3 linked regions of the Arabidopsis thaliana genome follow. The protein of the gene in region 1 interacts with the protein of each later gene in a pairwise test. Each region holds a gene or a part of one and is shown in the gene's direction. Other genes may lie near its edges.

Region 1 (5,656 bases):
ATTAACCTGACATCGAAGATAACACTTGGAGATCAGATTTAATTGTTTGGATTGTAGAGGTTAGTTTAGTTTATAGTTAGTTAATAATTTGAACAGCTCCAAAGGCTGTTGATAATTAGTTACCATTGATTCTGTAACTTTTTTTTGTCATCATTCATTGTAACTTTGGTTACCTTTTACTTTGGAGCTGTTTTTTTTTTCTTTCTTTCTCAGTGATTATTTTCTTGGGTCATTTTGGATCCTAATGGCTGAAATAATTTATTCCCACCTTAATACAAAATCTCAAATATATACTATTCCTTAACTAAAATTCTAGAACAATGCCAAATGGATATGTTTGAAATACCTTTAATAACAACTAGGATTTAACCTGTGGTGTACCACGGACAAATGTTTTATTCATATATAATAATATTAAATTTTACGGTTTTTAATTTAGTATTTAAGTTTTATAATTTTATATTAATGTTATAACTAAAACAAATGGTGATGATAAAATAATAAAATAAATATTTAACATGTGCTATATCAATCCAAACTCGTCCCACTATATTTCATATCAATCCAAACCCGTCCCGCTATATTTCTCATCTCATGATATTTTTTTATAAGTTTAAATAATAATAATGTTTTATAAAGTTAAAATATATCTATAATATTTAAAAATAATAATTATTTTTTACTTAAGTTGGAAAGATTTTTGGAAACGTTTGTTGAGCGCAATATAAAGTATTTAAATTTTCAAATCTGAATAATTAATACCAATTATATATCTTGAAAGATCTTTGGCAACTATTGTTGAATATAATATCTTGTATTTAATTATCGACAGGAAATATTTAATGTCAATGGCATGACATTGTAAATACAAGTACAAAATTTATTTGCTAAAATGGCTGCAAAAATGTATATGTAGATTTACTTCTAATTTTAATGTTTCAAAGGACAAAACTAGGCATGACCATAAAATCCGAAGCCCGAAAAACCTAGTTCGCTTTGGTTCGAGTGGATCTAAAGTGTTTATTTTGGGGTTTTGGTTTGGTTCGTGTAGGATCTGAAACCTGAACAGATACCTGAAATATCGAAACTCAAACGGATACATGTAACTCGAAATAATACGTATACATAATTTGTCGGTAAATTCAGGTTCAATATCAGGTTTCAATTAAATTTGAGAACCAGCCCGAACCCGAATAGACCTCAACCGATATTTTCAGTTCCTAAATGTATTTTCAATCTCTTTACCAAAGTAACCCAAAAACCCAATCTAAACAGACCCGAAAATCCGAATGTCCAGACCTAACTAAAATCGTGAGTCAAACTCAAAAAATGATTGATTAACACTATATTATACTTTTACTTAGATTCTATAAATTGGACACATGTATGGGTGTTATTAAGGGTTGGAAACATAAATTTAAGCCATGACCTTATTTTTGGTTGGAAAATTCTTGTTCTTTTTTTTGTTAGTAAAGGGCTGTTAATAAGGGTTTTAATGGGTTAGCGAACGACACCGTTTATAATAAATATGTTTGCTAAACGACATCGTTTGACCTTAGGGTTTATTGTTTAACATGAAAGAACGTCGTTTCACCAACGTTTCTTCTTCCTCGCAAGTCTCAAAGCCAGGAACGATCTCGCCGTATGAGCAACTTCCGACATTAACACTGTATTGCTCTGCCGTACTCTCCTCTTTTTCCCTTCATACTCGTCTTCACATCTGAATTCCGACAAGATATTGCGTCTGCTCTCCTCTCTTCCCTCATTCTCGTCTTCTCATTACCAAAAACATCTTCTTCTCGTAGCTAACTCAATCCAATTCCAATCTCCATTCAAATCGAGCACCAGATAATTTTTTCTCCTAAATTCTAATATAAGCCCTAAAATTCAAAATTGAAATATCTATAGAATCTCCTTCCGATTCAGACGGATAATCGCCATCAACAGCGTGTGAATTCGATCAAAAATCTGAACTTTCCACAAAGAAATTCGAAAGCTCAGATTTTTCGATTTCGAAAATTTTGAAAACTCAGTTAATGGCGGATTTTCAGACATCAACACAACGGGCCAAGTGGATTTTCACTCCCCAGAAACTGGTAATCCCCTTCTCCTTCTGATCACTACAATGCGGCTTTATAATTATATTTTGTTCATCTTTGGATTTTCTTTGCTTTGATTGCTTCATAGAGAGTCGGATTAATCGAGCATTTGGAACTCTTTGTTACTTAGTTATGTGTGTTGTTGTTGTTATTATCTTACTTGTTGTGTAGAGATATTGGTATTGCAACTAAGCTGTAATGTTGTAATTGTAGGCAGAGAGATATAAAGCTGCTAACCAGAGGGCAGTGCAAATGCTGGAGAAGGTTTGTTAGAATAATTGTTGATATGGAGCTTTAGTCCTGTATTCATGTTTAGATTTTAACTTATTGTTATTCATAGTGTGGAACAACTCAAGTTGAAGTAGATGCTAGTGGATCACTAACATATCCTAAAGATAAAGTTGGTTCAGGAGATCAAGGTAAAAATTTTGGTTCCTTCAATATCTACTTCATACGTATCATAGTTTTGTTTGTCGAAGTTTAAATAATGTTACTTTTTGCTTTGTTACTCTCAGCTGATAAGAAGCTTAAGCCTTTGAGTGCTGATGAAGAAAGGTTCATGAGAGCATTTTATGAGGCAAAGGTCCAAGAAGTGTGCAGTGCCTTTGCATTTCCTCACAAGATTCAGGTGCATTTCTACTCGTCGAGATAGAAGTTTATGATGAAGTTAAAAATAAAATACCTGATTTTTGTTTGCTCTCTGAATTTATGTTTCTTCCTTCTAATATTTTGCAGGCAACAGCCCTCCAATACTTTAAGAGATTTTATCTGCAATGGTCTGTTATGCAACATCATCCAAAAGAGATAATGTATAGTTCTTTTAAATCCTCAAAATGGTCAAAAGCTTTGCTTTTTTCAAGAGAATAGTTTTGAAATTGTTTACCAAATGGAGCTAAGCATTTTGTATTTCTGAGCTCTGAGAGGCTTTTTAAGTCAGTCATAAATGGTCCATTGTTGTAATTTGGACTAATTGTTACCTTTCATTGAACAGGTTAACCTGTGTGTATGCAGCTTGTAAAATAGAGGAGAATCATGTATCTGCTGAGGAAATTGGGAAAGGGATTAACCAAGATCACCGAATAATTCTCAAGTACGAGATGGCTGTTCTTCAGGTATGATATGAGTCAATTAATTTGTACCAACTTCCCTATGTTTATTTTTCCCTGGTGTTCTTTTCTCTCTCTATTCTTTTGTTCATATTATATTAACTCTATGTGCAGAGTTTGGAATTTGATCTGATTGTTTATGCACCGTATCGTGCAATCGAAGGTTTTGTCAACAACATGGAGGTAAATCAGTCCTGTCTAAATTTCTTAGTAGGTTTTCTTATTTCAACTGGCTTTTCTCTGTTTACATCTTATAGTGATGAGACTCTTTTTCAGTTTATTGGCAATTGTTTTGTTGCAAACAAAATTCTGAATGTTAACTTAACGCCAAGAACTTGGTGAACCATAATAGGATATACCAAGATTTTCAATACTTTTTTCGGTGTGTTATTTTTCATCCTTGTTGAACTTCACGCTATCTTCAAAAGTAACCTCATCTTTTCATCCTATAGGAATTTCTTCAAGCTAGAGATGATGAAATCCAAAAACTAGAGGTAGATCTATCTTCAGATATTTCCTTTATCTTCACTAGATTTTAAGCATGTGGTAACTGAATGTGGGATCAAAATGTAAATTTTAGTGTAAGTTTGTGATCATAGCTGTAAGTCTATTTACTTAACAGGCTTTATTGAAATATTATTTTCTCATACTGGCATAACTTTTCAAGTATTCTGCAGAGTTTGCTCAAAGGGGCGACAGCAGAAGCCGATAAAGTTATGCTCACAGATGCTCCACTCCTCTTTCCTCCTGGCCAGGTGGGCATGCTAGTTTATTTTGTCTCCCTAGCCTCTTATTATCAGATTAAAGATACTGAATAATATCCATCAAAGAATCTGGTTAAACTCATTGTTTGGGATATTTCAGTAAAGCTTTAAATATGCTACTCAAGACATAAATTTAGGATGAAAGTTGGTGCTTTGTTTTCTCTTTGACTGATATTTAAGTGAAATTAATGAATGTTTATGATATAGTAGTATAGCTTATCGATATATACTCACCTTGTTCCTTCTTTCAGGATTTTTCGTTTTTCTTTAGCGTATATGTAACAAAAGAAGTATCACAAATTGTTGTACTGTCTCTCAACTCTTGAACGTGTGCCCTTGTAGTTGGCATTGGCGTCGTTACGTATTGCAAATGGGGTTCTTGGAGTGATTGACTTTGATAGGTTATTTCTCTTATTCTATATCCATCCCGATTATTTACCCTTTTAATCTTTCCATGATATTAATCTCGTGGTCTTGAATTTCTGTATATGCAAAGCTTTTTACTGGTTGTATTTTCAACTAAACTGCATTTGGTGCAGGTACCTAGAGAACATTGTTTCTCAACCGAACTCTGAGCACACGACTTCAGAGCTTACAAAGTTACTTGATAACATCGAATATTTGGTATTTACTAACTTCCATAATTATCTTAACAATGAAACTTGCATATCTAAAAGGAAGTTTTACTAGATGCTCTCTCTTATCTCAGGTAAAGAACTACAAGTGCCCAAGTGAAAAGGACATGAAGCATATCAACCGGAAGCTAAAATCTTGTCTAGGACATAGTTCTTCACATGACGAGTACACTAACAACCTCTCTTCTACTAATTCTTTTAACCACTATATATATTTCATAAGCTTTGCTTCTGCAATTGACTCCCTTCTCTATTTATCTTCATCAGGAGTAAGAAACGGGAGAAGAGATCAAAACACAAGTCCCATAGGAGCTCCAATGATACACCAAACGGGGCACCGCCACCCATAGGTTGAGTTTCTCGTACTGCCATTAGCAATTCTTCCTTTGCACTTTGGTTTAGTTTTAATCTTATTGAATGAGAAATTCGTCTTTTATAGTTTCTTCCCCGTTGTTGTTCTTACTAGTAAATTTGAGCAGATTATGTATAACAATGATATTGGCCATAAGTTTTGTTTATTCTGAAGATGTTAATGAATTTATAACAAAACTTCCATTTATTTTAAGTTTTGGTGTACATAACAATCGTCAAAAATGGTTTGTTTGCGATAATGATCAACTTTTTACATGATCAAAAGTTTTTCCAGACATTTTGATACTTTCTAGTTACTACCACATCTGTTCTTACACAGAAACAAATGGATATGACTAGTGTAGCGGTAACTATCAAATCCTAATAATAACAATGAAAATTTGTATTAAATAACCAAAAACCATCGAAAATAAAATTTGGATTGTGAATGAAACTTGTAAAGATGCTTGATTGGTTGTGCTAAATGTCTTTTACAGCCATAATATATTTGTTAAAGACTAAATTGTTGCCAATTATGTTATAGTTTTTTTCTTTAACTTAGAGCCCCAAAAAAAATCTTTTTGTTTTGACTGTAAATCTTTAATTTTCTACATCCTATTTTGTGTTGTAGATTTTTTTTTTTTTGTAGATTTTTTTTTTTTTTTCTCTCCTCTAACTTTTTGTCACGATTATTTTCAACT
Region 2 (4,158 bases), on another chromosome or scaffold:
ATATATTGTAGGGATTCTTAGGGTTTAATCCGGTCTTTTGTTTCATGGAAGATCTATTAAATAAATATTAGTGTATTATCTCGTTAGAATATCATTTTTTTTCTTTCTAATAACCTGTATTTTATCGGATTTGAATTCGGATCGTGAAACGATATTTAATAAAACATACTTGGTTACGAGTACTAGTTATAATCACTTTTTTTCTTTTTATATCTAAGTATTGCAATCAAAATTTTCTTGGCAGTCAAAATTATTTTAATCTTGACATAGAGTTTTCTACATAGTAAAAAATTATCTTAACATACAAATTAATAGTAGGAAGTGACATAGAAACTATCTTAACATACAAAATCAACTTATCTTTACATTTTTCTAACTAGCTAATCAACAATGTAACAAAAAAATATTTGATTATTGATTGATAGTGTTATTATATATTCATACAAATGAGAAAAGATTTGAAATGATAGGCGAAATTTTTATTGAAAAGTTCTATCAATTTTTTTAAAAGTTTAGGACGACCCTATTCAGGACTATATATGATCATATGGATTACAATGGTCACTGAATAAATTATTTTGAATTATATCATTCCCTCTTGATTTGTCTTAATAATTCCTAAATAAATGCCTAGGTCAGCGAATTCGTTGTTGCATCAGTCACTTAATTATTACTCGATGATTCCTTTTATTACTAAAATTTATTGAAAATGGTCCCATTTATTGGAAGAATAAAGAAGTAGTTACACTAAAATTTAATTATAGTATATGCTTAAATTTGTAAACCGTTCTGGCCATTTTGTATATATATATACATATATGGGCTCTTTAAGACGAGAATTGAGTTTAGTTGTTTACAATTGGTTTTAACTGTACGGACAGTTTAGTTGAGCTTTAATGGCTCATTCTCTATGGTGCTATATTATGGTTTTAACACATGTACATTATTTCATAATACATATGTCATTAAAATGACATAGAGGACAAAATCTGTTGTTGATGTGTATCTGATCAGTGGAAGAAACTTACACATGCATGGAAACTTTCAAAAAGACAACTAAGCATAAACAAGAGATTAATTAGACTTAAGCTGAGTTAGTCTCTATATGACATAATTGATGTTTCTACTAAGCAAACCCCAAACTGTTATTCCCTTTCCAGATTCAAGCATTATTTGATTCGTCATTGATTTCATGGTCTTGGTGATGATACGAACCAAAAAGTTGTATAATTGGTTTATAAGATGTAGGTTCTTACAAAATTGACTATGTAACAAAATTATAGTATTGTTTTAAACGTAAATTAACGAGGCGCTTCTAGACATGTTCCGACAAACATATATAATAGTACAGATGATTTTATAGAATGTAGTTAATCGATGTATCTTCTGCTATAGGTATCTCTAATTTATTGTTCCGACCACCACAATTCTTTTCTAAGTATTTTATAAATTGGTTAACCATGTATCTTCTGTTGTGTAATTATAGCTAGTATCTTCATTTGAAATATTGTAAGGAATAGTTTGTCTAATTGCTTATGATATTTGACCATCTAAGTAAGTTTATGAACTAATTGTTTTTCAAAAAAGGTTGATTAACCTTAATTACGTGATAGTTTTAACATTAAAAGATTTCAACACTATGTTCTGGATGTTAACATATCCATCTCAAAACCATGATAAAACGCGTACAATGGAAGGGATCAAGCTAATTTGACAAATCTCTATTCACACCTCAACCATTCATATATATACCCTCGATATATGTCACATCATTGGTTTTAGCTTTTAATTGATTCTCATAAAATATAAAACCCAATTACGAGAAAAGACTTGTTCGATGGTTCTCATAGACCCTGACCAAATAAGACTTGTTCCTAAACAAATCGAATTAAATAGAGTTGTGGTTTACTCATACTTTAAATCGTTTTAAGAAAAAATAATGACTACTGTTACGTTGCTACTACGTCATAACTACCGAAAATGATTGCGTTTTCAATTGCTTTGAAAGGAAGCCAAAAAGGCAAAAACGGCAAAAAGGGAGAGAAAACGCGTTTGGGAATCTCAACGGCGTTTGTGTAAGAAAATAAAAGCGAAACTCCGTAACGGCGCCGTTATATACCATAACCTCCGTCCGCTCACCAAGGAAAATAAAATCTCAACCGTTGAAATAATCAACGGCTCATGATTCATTCTCTCTCCTTCCCCACCAAAATCTCCTCTGCTTTGTTAAGAAGCGAACCAGAAATAGAAAGAAAAAAAAGCAGAGAGAGAGAGCACACAAAAATCCAAGAGAGAAAAAAATGAGCGAGAGAAAGCGAGAGCTTGCAGAAGAAGCTTCAAGCACAAGCTTCTCACCACTGAAGAAAACGAAGCTTAATGATTCTTCTGATTCATCACCGGACTCTCATGACGTCATCGTCTTCGCGGTTTCATCTTCTTCCGTTGCTTCGTCGGCGGCTTTAGCGTCTGATGAATGTTCCGTTACCATCGGTGGAGAAGAAAGTGATCAGTCCTCGAGTATCAGCTCCGGTTGTTTCACCAGTGAATCGAAAGAAATCGCGAAGAACAGTTCGTCGTTTGGTGTAGATCTGGAGGTGAATTTTCAAAATCAAATAACTCCTCTCTACTTGAATCGATTTAATCAGACGATTTTCTCAGTTTTCGTTTTGATTTTTTATTTCCGTTTCTGTGTTTCAGGATCATCAAATCGAAACCGAAACCGAAACCTCAACATTCATCACCAGCAATTTCAGGTTCATAATCTTTTTGTTTCCCCCCCCCCCCAAATTAGACGTTCAATCGATTTTATTCTCCTTGGCGATTTTTTCTCTGTTTTTTATGGCAGAAAAGAGACGAGTCCAGTGAGTGAGGGTTTGGGAGAAACGACAACAGAAATGGAATCATCATCGGCAACGAAGAGAAAACAACCGGGGGTGAGGAAGACTCCAACGGCGGCGGAGATTGAGGATTTGTTCTCGGAGCTAGAGAGTCAAGACGATAAGAAGAAGCAATTCATAGAAAAGTGAGTCCATTTTTACAATTTCATCATCTCTCTCACGTGTGTTCTTGTTGTTGTTGTGTGCGCTTTGCTTTTTGGGGTTTGGGAAAAATTGGAGTGAGTCCGTACCTAGAGAGAGAGAGAGAGGAATGTGAGTAAAAATGTCTGCGTGCGCATGATAAAAAGATTAACCGACGCGTAGTTTAGCAAATATCCTAAAAAGAGAGAGAATCAGAATCCTAACGAACACACACACTTTGGCACAGGTACAACTTCGATATTGTCAATGACGAACCGCTTGAAGGTCGCTACAAGTGGGATCGACTTTAAGCCATCAAAAAGCAAATACCATCCATGAAGAAGACAAAAGAAAAATAGGTTTTGTTTTTCGTGGTTAACATTTCCACTTGTACAGCTCTAGTCTATTTCTCTTTAAAAACCTATGTTACTAGTTCGTACAAAACAAAACAAAAAACACGACCTTTATAATGAAATTTCGGATCTTGGCTACTAATTACGGTGATTTCGTTGGTTTGTTATGTTTCTGTTTTAAAATCAAAAATGGTTTTGGCAGAGTTTTAAGTGCATGAATATAGAAAGGTGCTTCTTGTTTGGATTCTTTTAAAACATTGGATGCTTAATTATTACAATTATTTTATCTTACTCAAAACTATTATTTTTTGTTTGTCTCATGTCATTCTTATTCTTACACTTGCAGTTTATGTTATATTTAAATGTTTCATGTCATATAGTACCCAATTTACAAAAATATCTGAAACCAAAAATTGATGTTTTAAAAAAAAAATTGGAGAAAAGAGGAAAGGTACATGACATGACGGCACAGTAATACAGTTGGTTTGTACTTCTCTAAAAACTGCGATCATACAAAATACAAATATTATATTTTTTCTATTTTTTTCACTAATATTCTTTTATTTTATTTTGGAATATTCCTCTATTTTGGCACTAAACACAGGGTCCACTTAGTTAAAACCATTTTGGCCTTCATTAGATAAAACCAAAAAGCGGCCTATGCGGAGTAGTAATTTATCCTAATGAAGTGTGTTACTGTAACAAAATATCATCAATGAGTGATACTATATAAAAACGATTACATAGGATATATTTACGTGGATTAGCTTTTTGGTAACGCATTAAAA
Region 3 (3,579 bases), on another chromosome or scaffold:
TCAGTCGGAGGTGACGACGACAATACAGAGCCACCAGCTCTGATTTCCTCAGACGTCGTTACGGTGAATTTGGTGAGTTTTCGGCCTTCAATTGAACCAACACTAATAGTCAAAAGAAAGATAAATGCAAAAACGTAAACATTAATCGTCGCCATTACTAGAAAAACCGAGACGAGAATTAGAAAAAAAAAGAAGCTAAATTATAATATTTAGTCGAAGGCGAAAATGTATTATGTATTGATGCATGAAACCTCTTGGACCATCTGATGTATTTATAGGGATGAAATTTTACATAACATGGGCGCAACACTTGAGGAGATAAATTAAATATTTAGGGGGTATTATTGGTTTATGATTTTAAAAGAACTTTAACGATTATGTAAAATCGTTTGTTATTCAATCAAGATTTTTAAAAAGTTTATTAAAGTTCTTTGTTATTAATTTAAGATTTATAAAAAGTTTTCTAATATCTTTATAAATCTAGGGTTATAGATTCATACTTTTTTGTAAAGTGAGTAAAAGTTTTATGTTATTCAATTAAAACAAAAGTCGTCTGCATGACCTTCATGTAAATTTCAGTCCCTTCTTTTGATTGAGAAACTAGGGAATTTTTTGGATTGAAAATTGCTTGGTGAGTTAAGGAGATCTAATCTTGATGCTCACTTTATTGCCAAGAGCGTAACAAAAAATGATCGCCGTTAATCGTATGTAGCAACTAGGTTTTCTTTTTGGTTAAAACAACTTTTTGAGGAAGAAAAAAATGCCTAGTGTAATACTGGTTGATCTAGAATGATTGTCCTTGATCCACATTTTTTTGTATGTTTGGTTGGAAATTATGAAGTATATATTTATCTTTCAGTGAAAAAAAAAATATTTTTAATTTTTAAAGCAAGACATGGTAATTTGAATGCACTCGCCACTCCATTTTGTTCATGCTTTGAGACAAAAACAAAACATAGAAAGGCTGACAAGGCCCATGGGAAGTGATGGAGGCCAAGTTTAGTTCTTAGAAACCTTTACTATATTATGACTTATTAAGCCCAATATATCACGATCGACACGTGCTGTTGACAACTTGACATCAGGCTAAGCAAATACGCAGGGATAACAAAAATATAATTTCTAGTGTCAGTTTTACTTTTACCTTATTTTACTCACAGGTACGTAGTTTTTAGGCTATCCGTAACAATCCACCTATACTATACACATAATCTATATATAGTCTCTATCCAATTCATTTTAAAGTAATATGAACTTTCTAATTTTACCTAAACTATAAAATTCATCCCAACTATACAAAAAGCTTGTCAATTATAATTTAAAACATTTTAAACGGTTTCGCGTAATGGCAAATCTGTGAATTACCAATAGATGAGAGGGTTTTTAAAATAGTTAGTTACACCACAATTATTACGCCTCCCGTTCCGTTAAGTCACCGTTTATAACCGACACGTGTCAATAAAACAAACCATCGGCATAAGTAACTCCATAACATCCAAATAACGGCGCCTCCAGTTTCCCCGTTAAAGATTCCCCGTCACTGTAACGGGACCACTAAAACACGCCATTTCTCTATCACACACAGCACAAAACTCAATCCTGACCGTTCAAAACCAAATTCATCATCTTTCTTTCTTCTTCTTCCTCATCCTCTCAATCATATCTCTCTCTCTCACAGAGATTGTGACTTCACGCACACGTAACCTAAATCGAAGATGGTGAGAAAATATAGAAAAGCTAAAGGAATTGTAGAAGCTGGAGTTTCGTCAACGTATATGCAGCTACGGAGCCGGAGAATTGTTTATGTTAGATCGGAAAAATCAAGCTCTGTCTCCGTCGTCGGTGATAATGGAGTTTCGTCGTCTTGTAGTGGAAGCAATGAATATAAGAAGAAAGAATTAATACATCTGGAGGTTATTTAATGTTGTTGATTCTAGATTCTTGTAACTGTATATGTATCATTTAATGTTAATGTATTTTTTTTTGAAATTTTGAAATTTTTGTAGGAGGAAGATAAAGATGGTGACACTGAAACGTCGACGTATCGACGGTGAGTGTTAAAAAAAAAACTGAAAATGATTTGAATTTTGAAGGTTTTATTATTTTCCCGGTTATTTATTTGACTCTCTCTTCAATAAATTTAGAATCTTGCTTGTGAGTTATTTTAGGGGTACGAAGAGGAAGCTTTTTGAAAATCTGAGAGAGGAGGAGAAAGAAGAATTAAGTAAATCCATGGAGAATTATTCATCGGAATTTGAATCGGCGGTTAAAGAATCGTTAGATTGTTGTTGTAGCGGGAGGAAAACGATGGAGGAGACGGTGACGGCGGAGGAGGAGGAGAAGGCGAAATTGATGACGGAGATGCCAACGGAATCGGAAATTGAAGATTTTTTTGTGGAAGCTGAGAAACAACTCAAAGAAAAATTCAAGAAGAAGTAAGTTTTTATTTTATTTTGTGAGTTTGATTTTTATAGATAATATATTTTTTATTCATAATTTAAAATTGATTTTGAGGTAAAATTAAGAGTGAGTTTATTTTTTTTTAATTAGGTACAATTTCGATTTCGAGAAGGAGAAGCCATTAGAAGGACGTTACGAATGGGTAAAGTTAGAGTGAAGAAGAAGAAGAAGTTTATGGTTTTTTTTTTAACTTTTTAGATTTTAATATTTCAGGGAATAAGTTAATTTTATTTTGTTGATTTGGAAATATAAGATTTGTAGGAGGAATGTTTTTAGAAGTACGAAATTGCACAGAAAAAGAAGAAAGCTTTTTAACAGATTTTAGAGCCCAGAAAAGTCGTGTCTTTTAGCTCTACTTTTACCTCTTCTTCGAATCTTGTGTATCTTTTAGCATATTCTTTAGTACATTTTTATGTTTTTGGTGACTGATAAAATTCTATCCCCACACAGGTACAACCACACTCATTTTTTTGTCTTCTCCGTTTTAATAATATTCAACCAAAAACATCAAATGCATTTTGGTAGATTATCTTACCGCCCTAAACGCTTAAAATTATTTTAGAATTTTATTTCTTACAACGTTTGATATGGATTAAAAAGTACTATGAAATTAGTTATTATTGTTCTACTACTTAAATTAACTAATCGACAATTTCAGTGCAGTTTTTTGTTGAACAAAATCGTACCAACCATGTCAGCTAACCACACCAACTAATTTTTTTGTTTCATATTCAGCACCGAATATGATTGAGCTCGACCAATCAGAATTTCAAGATGATTCTGTTATTCTTAAAGTTTATTGATTAATAACAAATCACAAACATTCTATCACACGAAACTTGGTTTGAAACTTTTCAAAATTTTAATTATAATAATACTAGCATATAATAAAACTTTAGATCTGTAAAGGGCATACTGTACTGGCCCAATGGTTAGAGAATTTTGAGATAATGCCATAAATACATTATTCCAAATGATGCAGGACCATTTTGTAACTAGACAAATTATCCGAAGACTTGGAAACAAAACTCTTTCATGGACCATTTCAGAAAATCTTCAAAACAAATGATCATGGACCATTTTGTATATGTAAGCTTAATTCAGATCACAAACAGGTTA

The links.
Region 2: the proteins of CYCH;1 (region 1) and KRP6 interact in a protein complementation assay, tested with the Arabidopsis thaliana proteins (one large-scale study listed by BioGRID).
Region 3: the proteins of CYCH;1 (region 1) and ICK1 interact in a protein complementation assay, tested with the Arabidopsis thaliana proteins (one large-scale study listed by BioGRID).

What each region holds. Positions count from the first base shown.
Region 1 is NC_003076.8:9,769,726-9,775,381, forward strand, and holds CYCH;1 (cyclin H;1), read left to right. Parts: upstream 1-1,577; 5' UTR 1,578-2,036; coding exon 2,037-2,096; intron 2,097-2,312; coding exon 2,313-2,363; intron 2,364-2,439; coding exon 2,440-2,518; intron 2,519-2,614; coding exon 2,615-2,727; intron 2,728-2,834; coding exon 2,835-2,908; intron 2,909-3,090; coding exon 3,091-3,211; intron 3,212-3,319; coding exon 3,320-3,388; intron 3,389-3,657; coding exon 3,658-3,699; intron 3,700-3,882; coding exon 3,883-3,960; intron 3,961-4,311; coding exon 4,312-4,370; intron 4,371-4,508; coding exon 4,509-4,593; coding exon of another isoform or gene 4,594-4,659; exon of another isoform or gene 4,660-4,678; coding exon 4,679-4,954; coding exon of another isoform or gene 4,955-4,959; 3' UTR 4,960-5,150; downstream 5,151-5,656. UniProt on the Arabidopsis thaliana protein: Associates with CDK-2 and CDK-3 and activates the CDK kinases.
Region 2 is NC_003074.8:6,615,798-6,619,955, reverse strand, and holds KRP6 (KIP-related protein 6), read left to right. Parts: upstream 1-2,004; 5' UTR 2,005-2,300; coding exon 2,301-2,594; intron 2,595-2,697; coding exon 2,698-2,753; coding exon of another isoform or gene 2,754-2,845; coding exon 2,846-3,022; coding exon of another isoform or gene 3,023-3,026; exon of another isoform or gene 3,027-3,264; coding exon 3,265-3,328; 3' UTR 3,329-3,626; downstream 3,627-4,158. UniProt on the Arabidopsis thaliana protein: Binds and inhibits CYCD2-1/CDKA-1 complex kinase activity. Regulates cell division which is crucial for plant growth, development and morphogenesis. May inhibit CDK kinases specifically involved in the G1/S phase transition.
Region 3 is NC_003071.7:9,976,058-9,979,636, reverse strand, and holds ICK1 (Cyclin-dependent kinase inhibitor family protein), read left to right. Parts: upstream 1-1,546; 5' UTR 1,547-1,715; coding exon 1,716-1,913; intron 1,914-2,006; coding exon 2,007-2,050; intron 2,051-2,168; coding exon 2,169-2,435; intron 2,436-2,550; coding exon 2,551-2,617; 3' UTR 2,618-3,047; downstream 3,048-3,579. Other genes in the region: AT2G23440 (uncharacterized protein), read right to left, coding at 1-155. UniProt on the Arabidopsis thaliana protein: Binds and inhibits CYCD2-1/CDKA-1 kinase complex activity. Regulates cell division which is crucial for plant growth, development and morphogenesis. Functions in turning cells from a mitotic to an endoreplicating cell cycle mode.